6 linked regions of the Callithrix jacchus genome follow. The protein of the gene in region 1 binds, or shares a complex with, the protein of each later gene. Links are inferred from orthologs where the notes say so. Each region holds a gene or a part of one and is shown on either strand. Other genes may lie near its edges.

Region 1 (3,994 bases):
CCAGGTGCTTCTGACATCAAAGCCCCAGTGCAGAAAGGAAATGAGCCTCTTTGCCTTGTCCCCGATGCCAAAGCCCCAGCGCAGAGGGGAAATGAGCCTCTCTGCTTGTCCCCTGCTTTGCTGGTCGGCCTCAAGGGTGGCACACTAGACATTCGGTTTAGCCGAAGCAGGCACTGCATGTTACGTTAGGGTTTATATTCCAACTTACGCAGTTCTCTGTATGTTGTACACGAGCCAAGGTTCCTGGATTGAAAAAGAGTCACACAAGAGGCTTGCCTCCACGCACAGAAATCCAGAGTTTTAGATATCTGCACGTGAAGCTATATCAACATAAGAATAAACTACTAATACCAAGAAGTGGGGAAAAAATTTAAAAGGATAAAACTCTCAGAAATGAGATAGATCAAATTTTAAAAAATGTATTCGATGAAATTTTTTTTCACTTTCTTTCTTTTTCTTTTTTTTTTTCAAGACGGAGTCTCGCTCTGTCGCCAGGCTGGAGTGCAGTGGCGCGATCTTGTCTCACTGTGACCTCCGCCTCCCGGGTTCCAGCGATTCTCCTGCCTCAGCCTCCTGAGTAGCTGGGATTACAGGTGTGCGCCACCACACTGAGCTAATTTTTGTATTTTTAGTAGAGACAGGGTTTCACCATGTTGGCCAGGATGGTCTCGATCTCCTGACGTCGTGATCCGCCGGCCCCGGCTTCCCAAAGTGCTGGGATTACAGGCGTGAGCCACTGTGTCCGACCTCTCACTCGGTTTCCTATGAAAAAATTAAAGAGAAAATCTGATTGACACTGTGGAGGCTACTACACTAAAAAAAAAAAAAAAAAAAAAAAAAAAAAGCACTATCTTTTCTAATGCTATAAATGGTTTTTCCTGAAGCTTTTGCCGCTTTTTCAAAATCTGGAAGAAACAGGGTGGTCGATTCCTTTAATTTGAGGAGCCTGTAACAATGTTTTTGAAAAAACAAACTGACAGTTTGTTTTGTTTTGTTTTGTTTTGAAAATGACAGTTTCATTTGTAGGACTGACTTTAATAACACGCCTCTATGGAACGAACGGCGATGAACTGGGGAAAATGGAATTATGGTAACCGAGGTAACGGGGTCGGGGACTCCCCTTCCTCTGCCTCTTGCTGGTGGCGCGGCGAGAACGCTCTGAGGAGGTTTGGTCTGTTGGCCACGCCGTAGGTCGCGGTGCATTCTGGGTCCTGGCAATATGGCGTCCTCCTTAGTGTGCTGATGAGAGGAGTTTCACTGTACCTCCAAACCAGAGGGCAAAACTCCCCTGACCCAATAAGCCCACATTGTCCTTTTTCTCCGTGGTTCCGTGTCACCTGTTTCTCAGGACTCGTTCTCACGCATCAGAGAGCCTCGGGGCTGAAGGCCAGGACCAGCCAGGCCGCGCGGACCTAAGGTTGAGGAACCGGGTGCGGGCGAGCACGATGGGCCGGTCCTGGCTCTGGTTGCAGCAGCTCAGGCGAGTGCGGGACCCGCAGGGCTGAGAGTGGCTAGAGGAGACCCAAGGCCCTCTGAACCCGATCCCTTGGCCGGAGACCTCAGCCCAGTCGGCCCAGTGGGCGAACCAGCACCAGGAGCGGCCTGCCTGTCCTCGGATCTGCTGAGGCGTTGGAGGCCGAGAGCAGGGTCATCGTGAGGCCTGAAGTCTCTCACGCTTTTGACAGCTCGGCTCGCAGCCCCTCTGGAAACGTACAGCCTCAGGAGCAGCCAGTGGCTTGGGACCTGGGGTGGTGTGTGTCTGCGGAGCTTCTTGGGCTGCCCCATTTTCCAGCGGCCCCCTCCCCGCCTCCCGCTCAGAGTTAGAAATAAGGATCTCAGACTTTTTGCCTGAGTAAGGGTCTCCGCACTCTCCATCCCTTTCTTTTTCGATTCTCCGTTTTGCTGTTTCTTATTTCACCAATTCTGGTACACACTAGTTTTTAAGGCTGGAGGTTCTCGAGCGCTTACTGCCAAGGACTCCCCCACCCCCTCCCCCACTGATGGAGTCCGAAATGCTGCAGTCGCCTCTTCTGGGCCTGGGGGAGGAAGATGAGGCTGATCTTACAGACTGGAACCTACCTTTGGCTTTTATGAAAAAGAGGCACTGTGAGAAAATTGAAGGCTCCAAATCCTTAGCTCAGAGCTGGAGGATGAAGGATCGGGTAAGTGGATTCTGATGACACCCCTTGAACTTGGTAGTTTCTCCAACAACGAAAGTTTACAGCTCGAAAAGTGTCCTTAGTAAAGCGCCAGCATTTCCCCTAAGCCACACGTTGTAAGTCGACTAGAAAGCAAAAGCCATTTCAGACTGCAGTTTTTGATTGAAAATGGGAAAGGCTGTTTTGGTTCGTCGTTATTCACTGTGCAGTGTTAATTCAATTCCAACTAAGTTCTAATTCAGACAATAAAAGTTAAGCAAATTTGAAAATACAGCATTGCGAGTGTTACATGCTCTTTGGCAACTACTTAGTTCCGTTAACACTGAGATTCACAACGTGCGATATAATGCTTATACCCACATGGTTAGTCTACTTGTAAAAATATCCAGGGTGGGTGGGTGAAGTGAAGAAGTCTGATATACTAGATTAGGAAACAAGAATACTGGAAAATGTTCAACTAGTAACAAATTAGTGCAGTTATTTTAAAGATACAGTGAACTTCATTCTAGTCTTCTAAACAGTTTGTCTTGAAGCTAGACTTCCCTGCTTTTATGTAGTGTCCTGTTGCTGTAACTTGGAGATAGAATTTCTTTAATTGTGCAGTTAGGGTATGAGGGGTTGAGACTTGGGTGCAGGTTTTAGGGTGTCCTCATGGTGTTGGAGTGTGGAGAGTGACTCACAAGCAGCTGGTAGGAAAGAAAGCCGAATTTTGCTGAATCTTTCCTTCATAAAACACTATCAATTTCCTAGTCTAAAAAGCAAAAGGGTGATACTGCTTCTCCTCTGTGGACACTTACAATTTGTCTTTTGGTAAGTATTTTCTCCCTCCAGGCTGCTTTTAATGATTTGCACATTTCAGTGGTATGAAAGAGGAAGTTGGTGTTACAATGTTTGATTTCCTCTAGGCTTATGTATATGTTTATGGAATGTTATTGTTTTTTAGTATATGATGTTGGACATAGATAAGATTATACTGCTGGGCTGAGCATGGTGGCTCATGCCTGTGATCCCAGCACTTTGGAAGGCTGAGGTGGGTGATCACCTGAGGTCAGGAGTTTGAGATCAGCCTGGCCAACATGGTGAAACCCCGTCTCTACTAAAGATACAAAAATTAGCCAGACCTGGTGGTGGTACCTGTAATTCCAGCTACTTGGGAAACTGAGGCTGGAGAATTGGGAGGCAGAGGTTGCAATGAGCTGAGATCGCACCATTGCACTCCAGCCAGGGAGGCAGATTGAGACTGTGTCTCAAAAAAAAAAAAAAAAAGATTACACTTCTGGTAACTCTAGCCAGAAGTCACCAGTAACCAGTACTTTAGTTACTGGGTGGGCTTACTTATAAAAGATTAGGAAAATTTGTTTCATCCAAAAGCAGTTTAAGGAGTTAAATAAGTTAGTCATTGGTGGAGGTTGCATAAATTCTGTCTTATGGCCATCTTCGTTACTAATAATATAGTTAAAAGGCTTTGTGGTTGCTGTACATTTATGAAAAGACTTTTTTTTTCATTCTGTGTGTAGGGTAGTGGTTTTTTTTTGTTGTTGTTCTTTTGAAATGTGGTTCCCTCCTCTGTTCTAAACCTATGTTCCAACTGTTTGAAACTGATTAACAGGTAGATTTTTGAACTTTTAATTAAAACATTAGTTTGTGAATGATCAACAATTCCTAATAAGCTTTTCACAGGTTGCTAAGAGAAACAAAAGTTCTGTTACTTTTAGTAACTATGGAGTTTGCAACTTAGAAAGGAGCCAGGGAGAATGTTTGCTGTTTCTGTTTCCAGTGGAGAAAAACAGCAGCTAATGTCTTCAGTTGAGTTTGTGAGTCTGGAATCTTGTAGT
Region 2 (3,500 bases), on another chromosome or scaffold:
AGCAAAGAGGGCCAAGAAATGGGATCACTGGTGACTGAGTTGCCAGGAAGAATAAAGAGCTGCATGAGGGGACTCATACTAACAAAAGGCTCATGAGGTGATGAGCACTGGAATTGCCACTATAAAGCCAGGGAAACATGTGAACCCTTGCAGACAAAGGTGACTTTTCCCAGGTACCTCAATCTTTCTCCCCCATCCTTGTCCTCAACTCTGCTTCCTCAAGCAGCTCTCACAGTGAGAATCCTGTGCTCCCTGCCTGTGGGTCTGACCATCATCCCGGTTACCTGGATGAGCATCTTGCGCAGGAAAGGCATGACAAAGGCGGGGTTCATGCTACTGAGTCGGCCCACAGTGCAGATGGCCAGCTCCCGGATCTCAAACACCTGGTCATTCAGAGCCACAAACAAGGCCTGCAAGTTCTCCGCCTGGGCCAGGTGTGCATCAAAGCGCTCATCCAGGGACGCCAAGACACAATAGCGAATGTCAGGGTCTGCAAGAGCAATGGAGCCTTTGAACATTTCTTCATGACCCCATCACTCCAGCCCTTCTCTACCTCCACTGCTATCAGCATAGTGGGAAGATTCCAGATGCTTTCTCTCATCTATCCTCTGTCATTCTTTTCTCTACTCATAGGAGTAAAGACAAATGAATTAAAGACATTATCTTACACCAACAGGCTGGAGTAGCCACGCCTAACACCGTGGCAGAGAAATAGCTGAATATCAACTTGTTGAGACCGAAGATCTCTGGAGAGGCCATGTGATGAAACTGGCTACTTCCAGCTGCCCTAAGCTCCTAAACTCCCCTAGATGGCTTCTGTCTCAGAAGCCTTACCAGGATCTGTTATCCCAACCACGAGCAGTTTGCTGAGCACATCTGCCACCACTTGCACTGCAGTCTGGCTAACCACATGAGCATGGCCACTGATGAGGTGGATGGAGGGTGTGAGCAGGCGGGAGCAGGTACGGGCAGCCTCCATGCGGATCTCCTTGTGCTCACTGTTCAGGAAATGATCTGCACAGTGGCGAACGAATTGGGTCAGAGAGTGACCTGGATAGAAAGGCAGAGAGAAAACAGAATAAACACTGCTGCTGTGGACAGGCAGGTCTGCAGTTTGCTAGGTGAATTTTCCATTTTGAGGCTACTAGTTCTACTTTCAACCAGATACTGATCAATGATACTGACCCAGAATTCTTAAAGGATAACAAGTGGACTTTCAATCAGCAAAAGGCAAAAGGGGGTGGTGAGGGAACAGGGAGAGATAAAAAGTATCTCTCAACCCTAGCCTTTTTATATTCCCTTCAAAGAATAAATTATTTCATTTTATTCCAACTCAACCCCTACCATTCTCAGAGGGTAATGCAATTCTTGTCAAATTTACCTTGCCTGTTTTGGTTCCCAGATCTAAATACCAGACAAAGAGTCTACGTAAGCTGGGTTTAAGCATAGCTACTTTCTATTCACTAGAAATAAATTATCACAAGTGTGAATCAGTGTAAGCGGAGGAACTGCAATAGAGAAACCACAGGTGGCTGTCTCCAGACAGTATCTTCAGGCTTTCTGTGCGTGTTTCCCCAGTCTTGACCAATACTACCTACATGATCTTAAATTTCAAAAGTATGAACTTTTCTCTTGAAATATACCTCTGTGGGGTATTAGTGGGTTTATTTGCAGTTTAGAACTACACAATAAAGTACTTTTAGAAATCATATCGCTAGCTGAGCACAGTGGCTCACAGCTGTAATCCCAGCACTTTGGGGAGCCGAGGCAGGCAGATCACTTGAGGTCAGAAGTTCGAAACCAGCCTGGCCAACATGGTGAGACCCCATCTCTACCAAAAATCCAAAAATTAGCCGGGTGTGGTGATACGTGCCTGTAGTCCCAGCTACTTGGGAGGCTGAGGCAGGAGAATCACTTAAACCCGGGAGGCGGAGGTTGCAGTGAGCTGAAATCGTGCCACTGCATACAAGCCTGGGTGACAGAAAGAGACTTTGTTTCAAAAAAAAAAAAAAAAAGGAAGAAAAAAGAAATCATACTGCTATAGACATGGAAACACCCAAAAGCCCTTGTTATACATTCTAAATCATTACATACCATCTCAGCTACAAGGAAGTAGAAAAGTGAGGATGTGAGGGGGATCTGTCTCTGAAGCATTATTTCTTTGGATCAATGTGTACTTTCCCTCAAACCAACTGCCCCAAAACTCAGAATGGGACAAGAAACAAACAATAGGAATTACCAATACATGGAAAGAGTCTAGGAAGGATGAGCTGCTACAGAATCAGTTACCCTGTCTCTAGGACCCCGGCAAGATCCAGGAATCCTAGATACCTTCATTCCTTTCCCAAAGTTTCCAGCATCTCTCACTATGTTGACAAGAGCCACTGTAATTTCTTACCTTCAAATTCAAAGCTGCCAAGTGTTCGGAGGGCAAGAGTGATGCTGCCCACATCACTGGCCTCAGGGAGAGTCGTGAGCCCAGGGGAGGCCAGCTGATGGGCCAGGCCCTTGGGCATGCCTGGGTGGCGGAGGGGTTTGTGCATAAGGACCAGGGACAGCATTTTCAGTAGCCCGTCTTGAATGTCCTTCTTTAGCTGTGGAATCTGACGGCTCAGGTCATAGAGTACAGCAGTGAGGGCAGGGCTAAAGGGAAGGAAACCAGTCACATAAGGGTTGAGCACATGACACTCAGTCTGTTCTTGGGAAGAAACAGCCTTTCTCTCCCAGCAAGGGGATCAGGCCTCTGTTCTTTAGAGTAGAAAGGATACTATGAAATGAGAATAAATGTGTAAACTCTCTTTGCTTAGTCTCAGGTCTCTAAACAATCTATGAGTTTCTGGTTCTTGCCACAGGAAGACTTGCTCATTATAATTCAGCCACTACAGAATACCAAGACTCAACAAACACTCTGGCAAGCAGATCAAGAACACTGTCCTTATTCTACAGATGAAAAGAACTATAGTTTAGGGAGCTTAAGCAACTTGCCTAATAATAATATAAACAATATTTGTAAATATTTATTGAACATTTCCTATACGCCAGGCATGGTCCTAAGAATGACTGTATCATGAATCCACAGCAACCTTAGACAACAGGAATTACTACTGTACCCACTTTTCAGATAAAAAAAAATGAGGCTCGGGGATATTAAATAACTTAGTCAAGATCACATAGCTAGCTAGTGATGAAACTAGGATTCAGTACTAGCCTATGTGTTTTGTCTAAGCAAAACACATTTTGAATGTGCAAACAACCATGCCTCCCTCTTTTAACCCAGTCCCAACACTGCGGACCAAACCTCACACTGATACAGGGCAAGCTCAGGTTTCTGACACCCACCTTAGTCCCACTGCCAGCATGGGCTCCAGCAGTTCCTTGATATCCTGCTGGATGCCTGGCCCCATTGCTCGAGCCAGCATGCTGATGCAAGTAAAGACTGTGGCATCCACTTGCATTGCCTTCTGCCTCCTGCAGAGAAACAGACAGTGACTAGTTGAAAC
Region 3 (3,950 bases), on another chromosome or scaffold:
TCTAGCCTGGGGGATAGAGCAAGACCCTATCTCAAAGAAAAAAAATGGGGAGATACAGTTTCCAGACAGTCACATTCTGAGTCCTGGGGGTTAGGACTTCAATCTTTGAACCTGAGGGGCAGTCACAGTTTAGCCTATGATAAGGTCACACAGCAAATCTGCCTCATGTGCCACCAGGCCCACCCCACCAGCAAGCAGCCCTGGCAGTGCGACCTGTGTGCTCAGTGACACCTCAGCTCAAGGGGAGACCTTTCAGAGGCTTCAGCTGCCCCAAGAGAGGAAGGCAGGACCCCTTCCTTCCTCACAGGAGACACCCAGGCTGCCTTCTGCAGCAGGGAATCGGTTTCCCTGCAGGGGCACCAAGCATGCCAGGAGGGGTCAAGTACCAGGCCCATCCCTGAAGGGTTCCCTACGTCCCGTGCCTTTTATTTAGGTGATGAGCACCCCTTTCTAGCTTTTACCTTGCCAAGTAGACACACACCTCACCCCTGCGGGAGCTCGTCTTGACACCTGCTGCACTGGTCCCACAGGGGCACGTTCACACACGCACGCATGTTCATGCCTGCACATACGTTCACAGGCACACAGATACATAGGTGCACGTGCATGTACACACATCTGCACAGCGCACAGATCCACACGCACACAGCCATGCACGGGGCATGCAGTTACCGTACACACGTGCTCACACATGTACATGTTCATGTGCTCACACACGTGGTGGTTCTCAGCCTCTCCAGAGCACAGGAGAGGAACTGTGTGAGTGAGCTGAGGGGATGTGTGTGCACCCGCTCTGTGGTCCGGGGCTTTGTGTGATGGCCCCACCCTCCATCAGCCTTTCACACACCTGCGTTGTGGCTGAGCTGTCTCCTCCGTTTGCCTGACAGCAGGGGCCGTGTTGACCCGGGTGTTGCTGTGAACTCCTTAGGTGGTGTGAGTGTTTTGGTGCCACAGCAGAGAATGATTCTGGGTTCTCTCTGGGGGTTTCTGCAGGGCCCCTTGTCGTGTCCTTTTTCTTGGAGCCAAGATTTAGCTTCTGGGAGCTGTCGTCATGCAGTGCCCTAAATTCAGTACCTGGCCTGTTTGCTGGGCCAGATGGTGTCTCATCAGCTGCAGTTGGGGCTGTGGGACGCATGCGGCAAGGGACTGTGAGGGCTCTGGTCCAGCTCAGTCACAGCCAGGCGTCTGCTGCGGGGCTGGCCCCACCAGGCCCCTGCTTCTCCCACCCTCCCACTTCTGCTATGAAGGGAGCTGGCAGGTTTGGGGCCAGAAGGAAGCCAGTGGCTCTGCTGACCTGGACTGGTGCCTGAGCTGGGTGTCAGGCCCAGCAGTTCTCATGCAGGCCTTGGGCAGGCTGCCCAGGTGGGGCAGGCAACTCCACCTTGCCAAGGGGCTGTGCTCCCTCCTGGTTCCGGAAGTGGCAGGAAGGCTCTTCTGTCCTCTGGTAAGAAGGTGTCGTTCTTGGTTCTTCCCCTCTTCCTTGGGAGCGAGGAGGGGCATTGGCAGGCCCGGGGCCCAGGAGGGGAAGCTGGTGGCCACCCCAGAAGCTGGGTCAGGATTCTGGGGACTGGGCCAGGCATGGTGGCTCATGCCTGTAATCCCTGGGAGGCCCAGGCAGGTGGATCATTTGAGGTCAGGAGTTCGAGACCAGCCTGGGCAACATGGTGAAACCCTGTCTCTACTACAAATACAAAAATTAGCTGGATGTGCCGGCGCACACCTGTAATTCCAGGTATTTGGGAGGCTGAGGCAGGATGATTGCTTGAGCCTGGGAGGTGGAGCTTGCAGTGAGCTGAGATCATGCCACTGCACTCCGGCCTGGGTAGCAGAGTGAGACTCCATCTCAAAAAAAAAAAAAAGGAATGATGGGGGCTACATCCGAGGCAAAGGTCAAGGGTGCAGCTGCTCGTCCGTAGGTTGACAGGCACAAGGCTTAAAGGCACAGCATTCCCTGGGGCTCTGACCCAGTGGAAGGGCTGGAAGGGCCTTCAGGTCTCATGTTCCCTGCCTTCCTTTCTTTCCTTCCAGGCAGTAGAGTAGAATAGAACAAGGTAAGAGTGTCTCCTGCCTCCCAACCCCACTCTTCTTTTCATTTCTTCACAGAGGGTGGGTCGCTAGGTGACTGTGACCTCGTGGCTCTCCGAGGTTGGCTGGGCCATCGGAGAGGATGTGTTTACTTCCAGAAAGGCTCGAGGCGCGGGGACACAGCAGTGGAGCTGAGAGGGTGGGAGCAGATGGCAGCCCGAGCCCACCTCCCATCTCTCATGCACTGCCTGGGGCTGGGTCTGTCTTGCTCAGGGCTGTGTCCCAGGCCCAGACCCGCCCCTAGCTGAGTGGGCACGTAGGCAGCATCTGCCAGTGAGCTTCGGCAGCCTCCTGGGAACAGTCCCAGGGAGGCTTCCCATTGGCTGCCCAGGTCACAAGTGCCTGCCTCATCCTGAAGCCCAGGCGGGGCAGTGGATGGCTGAGTGTGGGTCTGCTCAGCCTCACTGGGGTTTGCTCTCCCCACCCCAGGTGTCTGGGCCAGCGCCTGGAGCTGATCCAGAGAGTGAGGACTGGTGGACCGGGAAAAAGTCAGGACAGAGTGACCCTGGCCAAGGCCACTCAGAGGGAAGGGGAGGGCAGCAGGCCAGAGCACATGGAGGAAACGCCCCGACGGAGATGGGAGTCTGTGGGGACACTGGCAGCACATCCCACTGGGAGTGATTTGGTACCTTCCCCTCTCCTCTGTCTTTCTCTCTGACTGTCAGGAGGCCCTTTGATAAAAGTAGGTCCAGGCCAGGCACAGTGACTCACTTCTACAATCTCAGCACCGTTGGGAGGCCAGGATGGAAGAGCAGCTTGAGGCCAGGAGTTCAAGACAAGGCTGGGCGACACAAGGAGCCCCAACTCTAGAAAAAATTAAAAATTAGCTGAATGTGCTGGCATGTGCCTGTAGTCTCGGCTACTCAGGAGGCTGAGGCAGGAGGGTCTCTTGAGCCCAGGAGGCAGAGATTGCAGTGAGCCATGCTTGTGCCACTGTACTCCAGTGTGGGCAACAGAGCAAGACCCTGTCTCAAAAAAAAAAAAAAAAAAAAAATATATATATATATATATGCCAGGCTCGATGGCTCACGCCTATGATCCCAGCAGCCTGTAATCCCAGCACTTTGGGAGGCCAAGGAGAATAGATCACGAGGTCAGCAGTGTTTGAGACCTGGCCAGAAAAGTGAAACCCCATCTCTACTAAAAATACAAAAGTCAGCCAGGTGTGGTAGTGGGTGCCTGTAGCCCCAGCTACTTGGGAGGCTGAGAGGCAGAGTTTGCAGTGAGCTGGGATTGTGCCATTGCACTCCAGCCTGGGCAACAAGAGTAAAACTCCATCTCAAAAAAAAAAAAAAAAAATTCCCTAAGAGCTACTTTCCTTGCCTGGGACCCCACTCTTCCCAGAGCCCCTTTTCTGTGGGTTCTCCTCCACGAGAGGGAGCGTGAGGATCTTGTGTCCTAAGTGTAGCGAAGCGTCTGGGTTCCCCACAGCCCTGGGGTGAAATGCAGGGGGCCTGGGACCCTTGGGTCAGGGGTTGAGCAGGCAGCCCAAGCCTCAGCTTTAGCTGTTTCCCTCCAGATCCTGGCCTGGAAAGCTGATGAAAGAGCCAGCTACTGCTCAGTGTGGAAGGTCCCAGGCTGAGCCCGCACATGGCCAAGGCGTCCCCTCCATTTCCCCACCCACTCATGCCCCCGGCCCCTCTCTCCTGCAGAGGTCGGACCCGCAGCTGCTTGCCCGGTTCTACTACGCCGACGAGGAGCTGAACCAGGTGGCCGCGGAGCTGGACAGCCTGGACGGGCGGAAGGACCCCCAGCGGTGCACACTGCTGGTCAGCCAGTTCCGCTCCTGCCAGGTGAGCCATGGGCAGCAGAGGCTGGCTGGCCCCGCTGGGCATTGGACAGAGTGGCCAGTCCTCAGTAGAGCG
Region 4 (4,140 bases), on another chromosome or scaffold:
ACCACACCTGGCTAATTTATGTAATTTCAGTAGAAATGGGGTTTCACCATATTGGCCTGGCTGGTCTCAAACTCCTGACCTCAAGTGACTTGCCTGCCTCGGCTTCCCCAAGTGCTGGGATTACAGGTGTGAGCCACCGTGCCTGGCCCCATGGCATATTTATTAGTGACTTTAAAATTGGGCAGGGTTCCCCCAGGACTGAAATTTAACCTTGATTTTTTTCTTTTACTATGGTGCTTTTTTTTTTTTTTGAGATGGAGTCTCACTCTGTTGCCCAGGTTGGAGTGCAGTGGCACAATCCCGGCTCGCTGCAACCTCGGCTCACTGCAACTGCTGCCACCTAAGTTCAAGCGATTCTCCTGCCTCTCAGCCTCCCAATTAGCTTGGATTACAGGCCCTCACCAGCACGCCCAGCTAATTTATTTATTTATTTATTTATTTTGGTATCTTTAGTAGAGACGGGGGTTTTAACCATCTTGGCCAGGCTGGCCTTGAACTCCTGACCTCGTGATCCACCCACCTTGGCCTCAAAAAGTGCTGGGATTATAGGTATGAGCCACCACCCCCAGCCACGCTACGGTGCTTTTTTGAGAGACTTCCCAGAGCATCTTTCGGGTGGGAGAACACTCTCACTGCACTGCCCGAATCCTTTTTCCCCCTTCACTGTGGCTTTCTCCACTGATTTCCTCCGTGAGAGAGAAAGAGAGCAGCGTGAGACAACACTAACTTCTGCCTGTGCCAGTCCTCCTGCATCTCATGGAAATCTCCCAGCAGGACCTGAGGAAGATTACTATCACCGCCATATTACAGGTATTATAAGAGAAATAACTAACATTGACTACATGTTTATTATGTATCAGGCACTGTGCTGGGTGATTTTCAAGCATCATCCCATTGGATACTCTAAAGTTGAAACTATTGCTCTGGATGGGAAAACCCGAGGCTCGGAGAGGAGAGTTGTCACGTCCTAGGACACACAGCAAGTTATAAGAGCTGGCATATCTGAACCTAAGTCTTTCTGATACAGAGGCTAAACTGCCTCATCACTCATTTCTGGACTAACTAAGGGTTTTTCTCCGTGGAAATGGGGAGAAAGAAGATTCGATGGAGAAGCGTAACACTGATTCCTGCTAAAGGCAAATCCAGACACGAGTGCATCTTGCCAGAATTCAGCCTCAGACTCAGGCCTTCTCCTGCATTGGAGAAGCGGCGCGCATGCGCCCGGCCTCCCTCCCGGCCCCGCCCCGCGGGAAGCTGTGGCCGCTTGCTTTCAGCTCTGGGGCTTGCGCACTACGTCCCCAGCCAGAGGCTCCTTCCCGGTCGGGGACTTCCGGAGCGCCGGGGTGTGGTTCCGGGTCGTGTGCGGCTTGGGGTAATAGGGCTGCTGCTCGGCCGGCCGGCGGCGGCGGTTGTGAGCACCACGGGCATGAGGGCGAACCCGGGAAGCGGCAGCTGAGCGGGCCGGGAGGAGCGCCGGTCCCCGTGGATCCCGAGAGTGCAGAGCTCGGGGAAGGGGCCGGGAGGCGTGGGGGAGCCGGGCCCTCCCCTCAGGAACGTGTCCCGGGGCCGACCCGGCCCGTAGTGTGGAAGCAGCTTCAGGTAAAGGTTGCCCCAGCCGCCAGCTCCCCGCTCGCCCGTCAGCCCACCAGCTTGCCCACCTGGCGACCCTCTCACCTCTCCGGTTTCGGCGCTGCTCAGCGGGCCGCCTGCCGGGCTCCTGCTCAGGTGGCCCGGGAGCATCCGTTTCCTGGCCTTTACCAGAACTGGGGACTGTCAGGAGTCTGAGGCGGGTGTGTGATTTAGGGGAAGGGAAGCCCATGGACCTGGTAGTGTTCGGGAGTAGCGGGGGCGGGGTGGGGAGGGTGCAGTTGGCTCCGGCAGTTTCTGGTCTTGCACTTGGCAATATCTAGGTGCCCTGGTCTTTATAATGTGAAAATCAAGGTTTTCAAGCATTGCCTGTGTGGTCCTTTTTCCTTGTGTCCCTTTTCCTCCTCGCCCTAAAGGGGTTAACAGCCTCGCAACTACAGTGCTGCTGAACTTTGATTCAATTGTTTGTTTATGGGAGTGGCAAGGAGTCCTTTAGATTTGTTTAAGGCGGGGGGAAAAGAAGAGCTTGTGGTGTAAACAAGAGTATGATTTTAACCAGAGACCCCCAAATCAACCCAGAAATTGGTTAAAATTTCCTTTTGAATGAGTGAAAAGTAACTTTTGAAGCCCACCACAGCTTCTGGCACTGTGCAAAGCACCATATTGTTATAAACCCAAATCGGCAAAGTTCAAAACTTTCCCAGGTGTGAACAGTCAAATGGAGACACATCGGTTTAAAAAAAGCAGCGTTCTCATTCTCTTGACAAGCAGAAGGGGTGGATTCCTAATGTTAAAACCCACTTGAGCAGAATGGGAGGTACCGTTTTATTCTTTATATTTTATGAGCCCATACAAGGTGCCTAGTAAACACTGAAAGAGTTCTTGATGAAGCAATAATTGTTTTCATGTTTTTCAGTTCACACAGCTGCGGGATGTGAAGCATGCTGGTAGCCCTTTCCCATTCAGCTGAGTGCTCATGCCTACTTTAAATACTGTGTGTACCAGACTGCACTTATATTCCCTTACATCTCGGAATCTGGCTCCTGGTTACCTTCCCAGTTATGCTTGAAAAGGTTTTCTTTTTTGAGAGGGAGTGTAGCTCTTGTTGCCAGGCTGGAGTGCAATGGCGCTCACTGCAGCCTCCGCCTCCTATGTTTAAGCAATTCTGCTGCCTCAGCCTCTCGAGTAACTGGTACAGGCGTGCGCCACCACACCTGGCTAATTTTGTATTTTTAGTAGATATGGGGTTCTCCATATTGGTCAGCCTGGTCTCAAACTCCCAACTTCAGGTGGTCTGCCTTGGCCTCCCAAAGTGTTGGGATTACAGGCATGAGCCACCGTGTCTGGTCAAGGTCTCCTTCTTTAATTACCCTACCTGATCCATTACTCTAAGTAGGATCTCAGTCACTTTTGTTCTTTCTTGTTCCATTGATTTTTTAGGACATTCTCCCTACCCTGCCTAGGTTTCCCCTTTTCTCTATCAAGATGCTTCCCACGGCTCAGCTGAAGTTGGCTGCTCTCAACCAATTCCCGACAACTCCAGCTGGAAATGGTTTTCCTACAGAATTCTATAAGCACTCATTTTATCTACAATTATTTAATTTAGTAAATGTTTACTAAGTATGGATATATACATGCCAGGTACCATGCTAGACAGTGTAGAGATAAATAAGATTCAGTCCTTGCTTCCAGGGAGCTCAATGTAGTGAAACAGAGATAAGGGAAATTAATAATTCTAACAGTGATAAGTACATTGTGTGAGAGTTCTTGTTGTGGCAGTGGTAGTCCAGGAGGGGAATGGGTTATTCACTTTTGAGGGATGGGATGTGGCCAGGTAATGCTTTATAATTTGAGGTAAACTCAACTTTGAGTATTTACTATGTATTGGGTATTATATAGGGATTTCTATTGTTTAATCATTTTAACCTCAATTTACAGATGAGGAAGACTCAATAAATTACACAGCTGGTACCAGACAGAGCCAGGATTCAAAGCCAGGTCTGTCTGATGCCTAAATCTGTGCTTTTTCCATTACATGTCTTGCCTTTGTCTCACACTGTCTCTTTGTGCAAGTAAATATTGAAACAAAAAAGTATACAGGATGAAACATATGAATGTTAAAATGAATGGTACAGAAATCTTTTAAATGCAAAGGCTGTGCTCTTCCAGGGCAAGGAGATGGCAGGTGGATTAGCTCAGCTTTGAATATGAGCAGAGAAGACAGTATAGAAAATAAGCATGGAGTCTGGATTCAATTCCCGGTCCCTGTTCTTACTGGATATGTGACCTTTGACACATAACTCCAAGCATCATTTTCTTCAGCTGGGGGTTGGGTTAGGGAATAATACCACATGGAGTGTTGTGAATATTTATTGAACTAACGGGGATAGAGGGCCTGGTACATGGTAAAGTCCCCCAAAATAAATAGCTATAAGATACAAAGGTATAATGCTTGAGGTATGGTTTTAGAGTGGTGAATGAGTTTACAGCCTGAGTCAAGCAAGTCATTGCTTCTTTTAGCAGGGTAAAGGATGGAAAGTTGGAGGGGCAGTA
Region 5 (3,992 bases), on another chromosome or scaffold:
ACTTTGGGAGGCAGAGGCGGGCAGATCACTTGAGGTCAGAAGTTGAAGACCAGCCTGCCCAACATGGTGTAACATCCGTCTCTACCAAAAAATACAAAAATTAGCCAGCATGGGTGGCATGTGCCTGTTGTCCCAGGTATCAGGGAGGTGAGGTGGGAGGATCGCTTAAACCCAGGAGGTGGAGGTTGCTGTGAGCCAAGATCGCACCACAGCATTCCAGCCTGGGCGACAGAGGAGACCCTGTCTCAAAAAAAAAAAAAAAAAAGAAAGGAAGGAAGGAAGAAAGAAAAGAAAGAAAGAAAGAAAAGAAATGCTGAATCTAGTCCCCACCCCCACCTACAGAATCAGAATATACCTTAAATGAAGACCCCAGTTATCCTTATGCACCTGGAAGAGTGAGAGGCAGTATTCTGGTCTGGAGCCAAAGGGTCCCAGGATGTGACCATTTCAGCTTCTCTGCCCTGGCAGAAGTGGGCTAAGGTGGGCTTTGGAGGAAGAGTCCACACCTTGGCTAATCGAGGCTGACCAGGCTTGCTTGACTTTAGTAGAAGTAAGCCGGATTTCCCTGGCTTAGGGACTGGGAGCTGTACCTGCTCCACAGGCCGCCCCAAAGAGTGAGCTGGCTTTAGGTTCCTGGCACTGCTAGCTTCTTCCAGTAATCTCAGAAACATATGCCATGTCCCAATGCAGAAGCCCCTTCTCCCTTCCTGCTACTGCTAAAGACCTTCAAAGTGAGTGGGATTTGCTGTCAGCCCCCTGACTACTCTCCACTTCCCAATCCAAAGTGAAAAGTGGATTCAAAGTTCCTATATTTTACATTTATTATTTATTTTAGAGATAAGGTCTGCAGTGGTCAATCATAGCTCACCACAGCCTCCAATTCCTGGCCTCAAGCGATCCTCTGGCCTCAGCCTCTGGAGTAGCTAGGACAACATTCTTTTTGTTGTTGTTTGTTTTTTTTTTGTAGAGATGGCATCTCACTATGTTGCCCAGGCTGGTCTTGAACTCCTGGCCTAAAGCAATTCTCCTGCCTTGGCTCCTCCCCAAAATGCTGGGATTACAGGCATGAATCTTGGTACCTCGGCCAGAAGTGCCTATAAACAGTATCCCTGGCTTCTAATTTGACCCAACAATCCAGCAACAAAGGGTGCAAAAAGAGGCTCCCTGTTCCTTCAGGCCAGCCTCAGGGCCCACCCTGAACGAATCCAGCAGACACTTACCCCCTCAGTTGAAAGAACTCCAAAAGTGTCAGGAATTGGCCTGGTAGACCATTGTGACAGAGACAAAGGAGAACAGCATGGACTACAAGTGAAAGAGGATGAGTCGGGAGTGGCAACAAGAGCGCCTGCAAGCTTCTCCTCGGATCATTTCTAACAGAAGAGGAAGCATTCCTCCTTTCTCTGCCTGGTTGCTATTTCTTGCCCAATCTGGGAAAACGGTGTGACAATGGACACGTGTTCCAGCTCTGAGGCCTCAGTGCCTGGCTCTGTAGAACAGGCGGCAGAGTTGGACAAGATCCCTAACCGTTCTAACAGTGTATGTTTTGGATCGAACGGCAGAGGACCTCGGATCCGGCTGTGCTTGCTGCCGGTGGGGCAGAATCTGCCTGAGAAAATAAGCATTTGGCCCCCACCGCCACCGAGCCAAGCGCCGGGATCTGTCGCGTTTTCCAGTAGTTTGGAAAGCAGCGTGGAGGAGGATGGAGGCAGAGGAGCAAAAGGAGTGGGGGCAGTGCAAGGATGGGACCGAAGTGGTGAGCCACGAGGATTTATTTCATCATGCAAACAGGAGCGTAGGTTTCATCAGCGCCTGTGCGCTGCGGCTCCGGGGCTGGGAGGGAATGCCAGGTTCCTGAGGGCAGCCCGAGGCTGTCCACCCCACCCGTGCCAGCTCAGCTTCCTCTTCCTCATCCTCTCCCAGGGAGGTCACACGGTGCCTCCTCCTCCCCCCGGACAGAAGAACGTGCTTTTCTGCACAGCCCGGCCCGTGGCGACAGGCCCCTCCGCGGAGATCTCACTTGCATAAATGGGGAACGTGCCACAGGTGCCCGGGAGGTGCTGCTGGAGCAGGGGAGCACCCGCAGACCCAAACCTCCGTCAGAGCGCGAGTGTCCAACGCAAAACTAGGGGTGCCTCGGGAAAAAATCAGGGCCCTGTAGAAATCATTTATCCCAACAGATAAATAATAAATTTATCCCAACTCATCCCATAAAAACACCAGGCCGAGCCTTTCTTGGATCGTGGGCCACACTGACCCCGCCCTATCCCGCCTGGGGAGCGCCCCCAACATCCACAAGGGGCAGCACAGCTCGGCACGTGGCAGTCCTGGAGGCGTGCTTGTTAGTTAGGTGTCAGCTGTCTGACACCTAACAGAAAGAGGAAACGAACGGGGCAGTTTGCAGCTCCGGTCTGGACGACGCACTCGGAGGACAGCCGGGCGGTCACTTCCATGACCCTCGCTGTCTCCCCGACGCCCCTTCTCCGTTCTTCCCAGCCACAGCACCCTTTAGCCTGGACGCCCGGTCCGATCCGCGATTCCCAATCCTCCCGCCCTCCCGGGAGCCGGCACGCGGCGTCCCCGAGCCAGCGCCTACCTCCCGGGGTGGTGCTGAAGAGCGTGCCTCCGGGGGTCGTACTGTAGTCCCCGGGCGGGAGCTGCACGCCGTCGCCGAGCACCACCCGGCGAGTGGCGGGGATGGCTCGGCTTGGGGTCTGGCTGCAGCTGCTGCCCCCGGACATGGTCTCCTGTGCGCTGCAACCGCGAACCTCTCCCTGCCCTCCCGCGCCTGCAGCCTCGCTCCGCCTCGCCCCGGCCCGCCCCGCCCCAGGACGCCCCTTCCGCCTCTCCAGGCCCACGCCCCTGGGATTTGTAGTCCGCGCCGCAGCCCCACCCAGCTCCAGGCCGCTGCTTGCACGTGGATTCTCCTGCCGCCCCCCGATCCACGCCCGCCTGCTCACGGGCTCCTCCATACCGCCCCCCAGCGACTGCTCCTCCGCTCTCGGGTCCCTCGGCGCCACTCTGGCAGGGACCCGGGTTGGGTGGCGGGCGGAATAGCTCGCCTATGTTAATCCTTGTCTGGGTTGGGGGCGGTGACTCAGGACCGCGCGGAGATCCGAGCTGACCCGGCCCACTGCAGGAAGGCCCGGTTTCTGCATTAAGACTTCAGGCCGGGTGTACCCTTTGGCACTCCCTGTTCGTTGCCTCAGTTCCTCAGATGAGAAAGTGGGATTGACTGGTCATGCTCACCCCACCTCAATTTCTTGACCTTGATGGGGATGGGTGTGGAGGGACTAACAATTCCGCTCCTGGCCTTTAGAGAGGAAGAGAAGGGGTGGGAGGAGTGAACCAACCAGCAGCGTCCTGGGAGCTAAATTTAGAGTTGGGGGCGGCCGGGAGGGGGGACGCGTAGGGGAGGAGTAATAGTTTGTCCAAAAGGTTTCCCGATAGCCCCTGAATTGGGTCCAATACCCACGCCACTGCCTGAGGTTTAGTAGGTACTTCTTGGTTGAATTGACGGATGTTTAGTAGGTACTCTTTGCTGGATGAATGGATGCATGCATGGATGATGTTCAAGGGGAGAGAGAAAAATGCAAGAAGGACCGAGGATGGAAAAACTTGTTGGGTTTGAGAAGTTCCTATCATTGTGTGCACATGTTGTGGGGAAGAGGGTGAAGAAGAGAGGACGGTTCGAAAGGGAAATTGGGTGATGCACCTGTAATCCCAGCTGCTTAGGAAGCTGAGGCTGGAGGATTGCTTGAGCCCAGAAGTTGGAGGCTCCCGTGAGCTGTGATCACACCACTACACTCCTCCTTGGACAGAGACCTTATCTCTAAAAAATACGTAATAATTTTTCAAAAAGGAAATTGGGGTCAGGTCGTTGAGTTTTTCAAATCATGTCAAAGTGCTTGGACGTTGTCTTAGAGAGGCAGGAGACATCAGAACTCTTTTAAGCGGGGGAATGACATGATTAGAGTTGTTTTTTTGGAACGATA
Region 6 (4,211 bases), on another chromosome or scaffold:
ATTTCGTATGTATTTAAACTTTATAAAAACAGAAAATTTGTAATCTTTGCTTAACATCATGAACATTATTTCCTATTACTATTACTAAGTCTACCTCGTCACTTTAAATGGTTGAGATAATTTACATAATCCCTAACTTTGGACATTTACGTGTTTCCAAATTGTTATTAATAACTTCAATAAATATCCCATATACATATACATATATATATATATATATATATATACATGTATTTTAAAGCAAGCAGAGAATTGGAACAAAGAAGAAATGCAGGGCATTTACTCATCTAACAGGTATTTACTGAATACTTATTTGTGCCAGATATTGCATTAACTAGGAGCTGGTAAAACAGAATGGTTAAAGCAAGATCTCCACTTTTAATTAACTTTCAGTCTTATGGAATAGAAAGATGAGCTGAGGAACTGGAGGGGACAAATCACTCATCCTCTCTTTAAAATAAATGTAGTTTAAGAAAGCTACTGGGTCAGTGGGCAGATGTATATATATTAACTAACTAAGCAGTTTCTAGAATTAAAATCCCTAATGTTAATAGGCTTATGCATACAATAGATTAATCCCCAACATCTGCATGAGCCACGCTCCTAGGACCTACAGAGACAGAAAAGCCGGACACAATACCCAGCAGTCTGGCCTCGATTCCTAGCAAAGGAAACCCCTCTCCCCGGCCTCCCGGCGCTGGCGCGATCCCACCGCGGGGACTGCCGCCCGCGTCCCCCTCCGATGCACCCCCTTCTCGCGTCCTATGCCTGGCGGCCACAAAAAAAAAAAACAAAACCGCCCAACCGCTTCCACTTGGAGAAGCCCTCCTAGCCGAGAGGGGCGTTCTGAAAGATCAAGGGCAAGGCTGGAAAACAAACTTTGTTATGTGTTAACTTGGTCGGAGCAAAGCGATTCCAGGAAGGGAGACTAAAACTGCGCAGCGTTTTTATAAAAATTGTTTCAATGGATGAACGGGGGAGTGGGGCCGTCTACGGCAGGGCTTGAGAGCAAGCAGGACACTCGCAGGCCGGCGATGAGCAGGTGGCCCGCCGGTCGCATCTCGGCCTCCTCCTCCTCCTTGCTCGCCTCCGTTTGGACGACTGCTTCCGCGGCGGCCAGAGGGGAGCATCCTTTACGCTGCCAACTCGCATCAATGGGACTTTCCTCGTGGGAACTGCCCCTCCCGGCGGACTTGCCCTCCGGGTCTGGCGTGGGCGGGCAGGCGGGCAGGCGGGCGCTGCGAACTCAGTGCAGACCTTGGATTTGTTCCGCGCTCCCTCCGCGCCGGGACCGAGCCTACACCACCCGCACAGCCGTCGCCGCCAAGGGGGCGGGGAAGGTGCCGCGGGGGGCGGGCGCGGCGCGCGGGGAGGGGAAGGGGTTCTCGCGCGATTGGGCGAGGTTTCCGGTGTTGTGACTGAAACCCGTCAATATGGCGGCGATCGGCCGCGGCCGCTCTCTGAAGAATCTCCGAGTACGAGGTAAGCCCGCTGCAACCCTCACTCTCCACCGCCCGGCGCCCGCCACCCCCTGGCACTTGCCTTCCCCTGGCCGTGGGTGGGGAGCGAGCCGGGGCGCTGGCCGGAGCCAGGTCAGCCGCAGCTGGCCTGCGAGCGAATCCTAACTGGGGTTGTGTGTCTGTTTCGCGCAGGGCGGAATGACAGCGGCGAGGAGAACGTCCCGCTGGATCTAACCCGAGGTAACGCGGGGCGCCGCGGGCACAGGCGAGGGCGCGCTGCTGGGGAGGAGCCGGGCCCGGGGCTTGGGGCCAGAGGCGGGGGCGGGCCCCACACGGGACCGGCGGGGTGCGGTGGGCAGAGCCGGAGCCCCGCCTGCCCGCGGGAGCCGAGCCCGGGGCCGCCTTGCCGGACCCGCCTCGCCGGACCCATCCCCCTTCCCGGCTCCCGCTTCCCTGGCCCGAGCCCTTCTCCGGGCCTCCGGCTGCTTGCGGGTGCGGGGGAGCCCCGAGTGGAACTCGGCGGACCCGCCGACCCTCTGGGCTCGAACTCCGGCGGAGCGGTTTGCACCTATCCCGGAGTCCGGCAGCCAAGCTGGGGGCAGCCAGAGGGAGGTAAAGGCTGTTATTTAGGTTGCAGGAGGATGTTTGAGGGATGAGCGACCACATCCTGCCCTCCCCATCCCCGGAGCAGAAGCCGGACCTACTCGGTGTTTGCTGACTGCGTGACTCTTTTCCCCTTTGCCCACAGCCCTGTGGGGACCCGCAGCATTGATAACTCGACAGTGAAACCTGGAACTGGTCATTACTGCTAACTGGTTTATGCTGTTTCCCTTCTGCTTCCCTTTCCCGGGCCGCTGGGACTGTAGTTGGCAAAAGACCGCCCCCTCGCCCTGCTGCAGGTTCATTGTTTACCTTCTGCAGTGGAGATGGGTTTGTTTACACCTTTCGAACTGGGGAAACCCGGGTTATATTTTTAATGACCTAATCCGGTTACTAGCCAGTGTTTCTTCTATCACTCACAGTACTAGAGTTTATTCGACATTATCTCGTTGAAGAGTTAGTAGTTACGTACAAGATTCTTTTCTCTTCCACGGTAAACAGGATTTAGTCTACTGATTCTGACGAAGTCATACACGGGCTGTAGCTTGAAGTGTAACCGGGCTAAACTGTGCAGAATCCGTTTCTGAGATCTGTAAAACGCCTTAGGAAGTAAAAACAACAACAACAAAACTTGTTGTAAACATTCTGTATGAGCTATTTTTTACCCTATACTGTGCTTGACGTAATGACTCTTATCTACAGTAATTTGTCAAACCTGGGCTCGTTGTTCGCAATGGCTCATCTCTAGAGGGAAAGCATAGTGTATTTTCTAATTTGTTTTATTTTGCATATCACAGTGTAAGATTACTGTTTTAAAAACTGAATGGTCAGCTTTCATTGGCTACAAGAGTACATGTTTGTTACTTAATATTTTATTCTGAAAGTTCAAGGACTTAGTTTCGGGTGAACTAAGACCTTTTGCAAGCACCGTTTCTAAAATATAATACAATGTAATAGAGCTTAAATCCTGGAAATGGCTGCTAATTAGATTATCAATGCGCTAATTTCCAACGGTTTTTCAGCAGATAGGTTTTGAGAATTAGTATAAAAAGACGTAAAGCTTTTGACTTCTGTACAGCAGTTTGGAAACTTGACTAAATATAACACACGTGAAAAATCTATATAAAATAGATTTACTAGTAAACTTCCTAACAAATAAGGATAATTCCTACAATTTCAGGTTTGTAAAAGATGTAATTAGTGAGTGATTTAATTTTTATAGCGGCATTTCTGTTTTTCGATGAAGGTGAAAGGAGCACTTAAAAAACTTGAGTTTATCTTGTGCATTAAAAACCTGCTTAGATGTGGTGCTGGAAATACATAGTTGTTTTAAATTGAGTTCGTCGAGCTCCTATATATAGTGCTCTGTTTACTATTTAAAATGCTGTATTAACTGAGCATTTAGTAAGCACCTGTGTCCATAGGTGTTTCCAGGTTAATATAAACAGTGCAGAAAATGCTGTTTCTGCTTGCCCTGACAAAATGTACTTCAGTTTGGTATAAAATATACATAGCCACTTAAAACTGATTGCAACAATTGTGAGAGATTGTATGAGATCTGTATTTCTTAATCATAAGAAGTTTAGAATTAATCTGAATTAGTCATTTTATAGTGTTACTATTGTTTTAAAAAGTTGCTGTTGTGACAAACATTTCATTGTTCAAAGTAGGCTTGAAGAAAGTTCATGAGGAATTAAAGTTTAGTAATAATTTGAGAACTGTGAGGCAGTTTGGGTTGCAGCTGAAGGGCAGCTGTTTGTGGATTAGATTACAGTATGTAAAAAGATAAAGTTTGGGGAATGAAAATTTTTTTTTGTTTAACGCCAAGGCAGTGTTTGCTTTTATTCTCATTATTTTAATTTAATCTTTGAGAGATTCATTGTATAGATACCTAATGAAGCTCATTATAAAATAGAGGTCATGGTCATTATAATACCTAAAGGAGCCATCAATGTGTAGTGAAAACATAGTTGACTATAAAATCACATCATTCTGGGTTATAACCTCAGCTGTGAGGTTTAATAGTTGGGTGATTTGGGGCGTTATTTGACCTCGCTTAACCCCTGATTTCTTCATTTCTAAAAGAAGAGATAACTTCAAAGGGTTATTAAGAATGTGAAAAGTGAATGAGCTAGTTGTTCATTAAAGTAC

Evidence for each region.
Region 2: the proteins of RPTOR (region 1) and MTOR are in contact, whole or in part, in a cryo-EM structure (PDB 6BCU), measured with the Homo sapiens proteins. The link is inferred for Callithrix jacchus from reciprocal best matches to the Homo sapiens genes RPTOR and MTOR. Residues at the interface, in NP_065812.1 of Homo sapiens: Phe278, Lys282, Cys283, Ser285, Leu286, Pro288, Gln380, Ala381, Asp383, Leu384, Asp387, Glu411, Gln412, Thr414, Ala415, Val418, Trp419, Thr421, Met422, Arg427, Asn428, Glu431, Gln432, Lys973, Ile974, Asp979, Leu980, Glu981, Ser982, Lys986; in NP_001373429.1 of Homo sapiens: His597, Thr600, Pro632, Val644, Ser645, Gln646, Thr647, Ala648, Val649, Ala653, His686, Ala688, Gln689, Glu691, Met721, Asn722, Pro723, Ala724, Phe725, Met727, Pro728, Phe729, Arg731, Lys732, Leu734, Ile735, Leu738, Thr739, His743, Tyr771.
Region 3: the proteins of RPTOR (region 1) and ZFYVE28 are in contact, whole or in part, in a cryo-EM structure (PDB 9F43), measured with the Homo sapiens proteins. The link is inferred for Callithrix jacchus from reciprocal best matches to the Homo sapiens genes RPTOR and ZFYVE28. Residues at the interface, in NP_065812.1 of Homo sapiens: Arg54, Arg305, Arg306, Thr317, Asp321, Phe337, Arg338, Leu341, Ala344, Arg348, Leu437, Gln438, Leu440, Leu441, Ser442, Gln443, Arg446, Pro474, Tyr475, Lys478, Leu479, Gln481, Ser482, Ser483, Ala484; in NP_066023.2 of Homo sapiens: Arg399, Val400, Phe401, Phe402, Met403, Asp404, Asp405, Val406, Glu407.
Region 4: RPTOR (region 1) and MAPKAP1 share a complex: the UniProt entries of both Homo sapiens proteins name them as parts of the mechanistic target of rapamycin complex. The link is inferred for Callithrix jacchus from reciprocal best matches to the Homo sapiens genes RPTOR and MAPKAP1.
Region 5: the proteins of RPTOR (region 1) and EIF4EBP1 are in contact, whole or in part, in a cryo-EM structure (PDB 6BCX), measured with the Homo sapiens proteins. The link is inferred for Callithrix jacchus from reciprocal best matches to the Homo sapiens genes RPTOR and EIF4EBP1. Residues at the interface, in NP_065812.1 of Homo sapiens: Arg54, Arg305, Thr317, Asp321, Phe337, Arg338, Leu341, Ala344, Arg348, Leu437, Gln438, Leu440, Leu441, Ser442, Gln443, Arg446, Tyr475, Lys478, Leu479, Gln481; in NP_004086.1 of Homo sapiens: Glu111, Ser112, Gln113, Phe114, Glu115, Met116, Asp117, Ile118.
Region 6: RPTOR (region 1) and RICTOR share a complex: the UniProt entries of both Homo sapiens proteins name them as parts of the mechanistic target of rapamycin complex. The link is inferred for Callithrix jacchus from reciprocal best matches to the Homo sapiens genes RPTOR and RICTOR.

Annotation. Positions count from the first base shown.
Region 1 is NC_133506.1:136,242,674-136,246,667, forward strand, and holds the start of RPTOR (regulatory-associated protein of mTOR), read left to right. Parts: upstream 1-1,194; 5' UTR 1,195-2,000; coding exon 2,001-2,162; intron 2,163-3,994. UniProt on the Homo sapiens protein: Component of the mechanistic target of rapamycin complex 1 (mTORC1), an evolutionarily conserved central nutrient sensor that stimulates anabolic reactions and macromolecule biosynthesis to promote cellular biomass generation and growth.
Region 2 is NC_133508.1:49,110,241-49,113,740, forward strand, and holds part of MTOR (serine/threonine-protein kinase mTOR), read right to left. Parts: intron 3,469-3,500; coding exon 3,340-3,468; intron 2,644-3,339; coding exon 2,399-2,643; intron 1,051-2,398; coding exon 835-1,050; intron 491-834; coding exon 285-490; intron 1-284. UniProt on the Homo sapiens protein: Serine/threonine protein kinase which is a central regulator of cellular metabolism, growth and survival in response to hormones, growth factors, nutrients, energy and stress signals.
Region 3 is NC_133504.1:190,791,461-190,795,410, forward strand, and holds the start of ZFYVE28 (lateral signaling target protein 2 homolog), read left to right. Parts: upstream 1-1,150; 5' UTR 1,151-1,336; coding exon 1,337-1,444; intron 1,445-3,737; coding exon 3,738-3,878; intron 3,879-3,950. UniProt on the Homo sapiens protein: Negative regulator of epidermal growth factor receptor (EGFR) signaling. Acts by promoting EGFR degradation in endosomes when not monoubiquitinated.
Region 4 is NC_133502.1:174,287,735-174,291,874, reverse strand, and holds the start of MAPKAP1 (target of rapamycin complex 2 subunit MAPKAP1), read left to right. Parts: upstream 1-1,340; 5' UTR 1,341-1,599; intron 1,600-3,525; 5' UTR 3,526-3,585; intron 3,586-4,140. UniProt on the Homo sapiens protein: Component of the mechanistic target of rapamycin complex 2 (mTORC2), which transduces signals from growth factors to pathways involved in proliferation, cytoskeletal organization, lipogenesis and anabolic output.
Region 5 is NC_133514.1:38,881,781-38,885,772, reverse strand, and holds the start of EIF4EBP1 (eukaryotic translation initiation factor 4E-binding protein 1), read right to left. Parts: upstream 2,801-3,992; 5' UTR 2,739-2,800; coding exon 2,594-2,738; intron 1-2,593. UniProt on the Homo sapiens protein: Repressor of translation initiation that regulates EIF4E activity by preventing its assembly into the eIF4F complex: hypophosphorylated form competes with EIF4G1/EIF4G3 and strongly binds to EIF4E, leading to repress translation.
Region 6 is NC_133503.1:166,483,959-166,488,169, forward strand, and holds the start of RICTOR (rapamycin-insensitive companion of mTOR), read left to right. Parts: upstream 1-1,411; 5' UTR 1,412-1,433; coding exon 1,434-1,482; intron 1,483-1,652; coding exon 1,653-1,700; intron 1,701-4,211. UniProt on the Homo sapiens protein: Component of the mechanistic target of rapamycin complex 2 (mTORC2), which transduces signals from growth factors to pathways involved in proliferation, cytoskeletal organization, lipogenesis and anabolic output.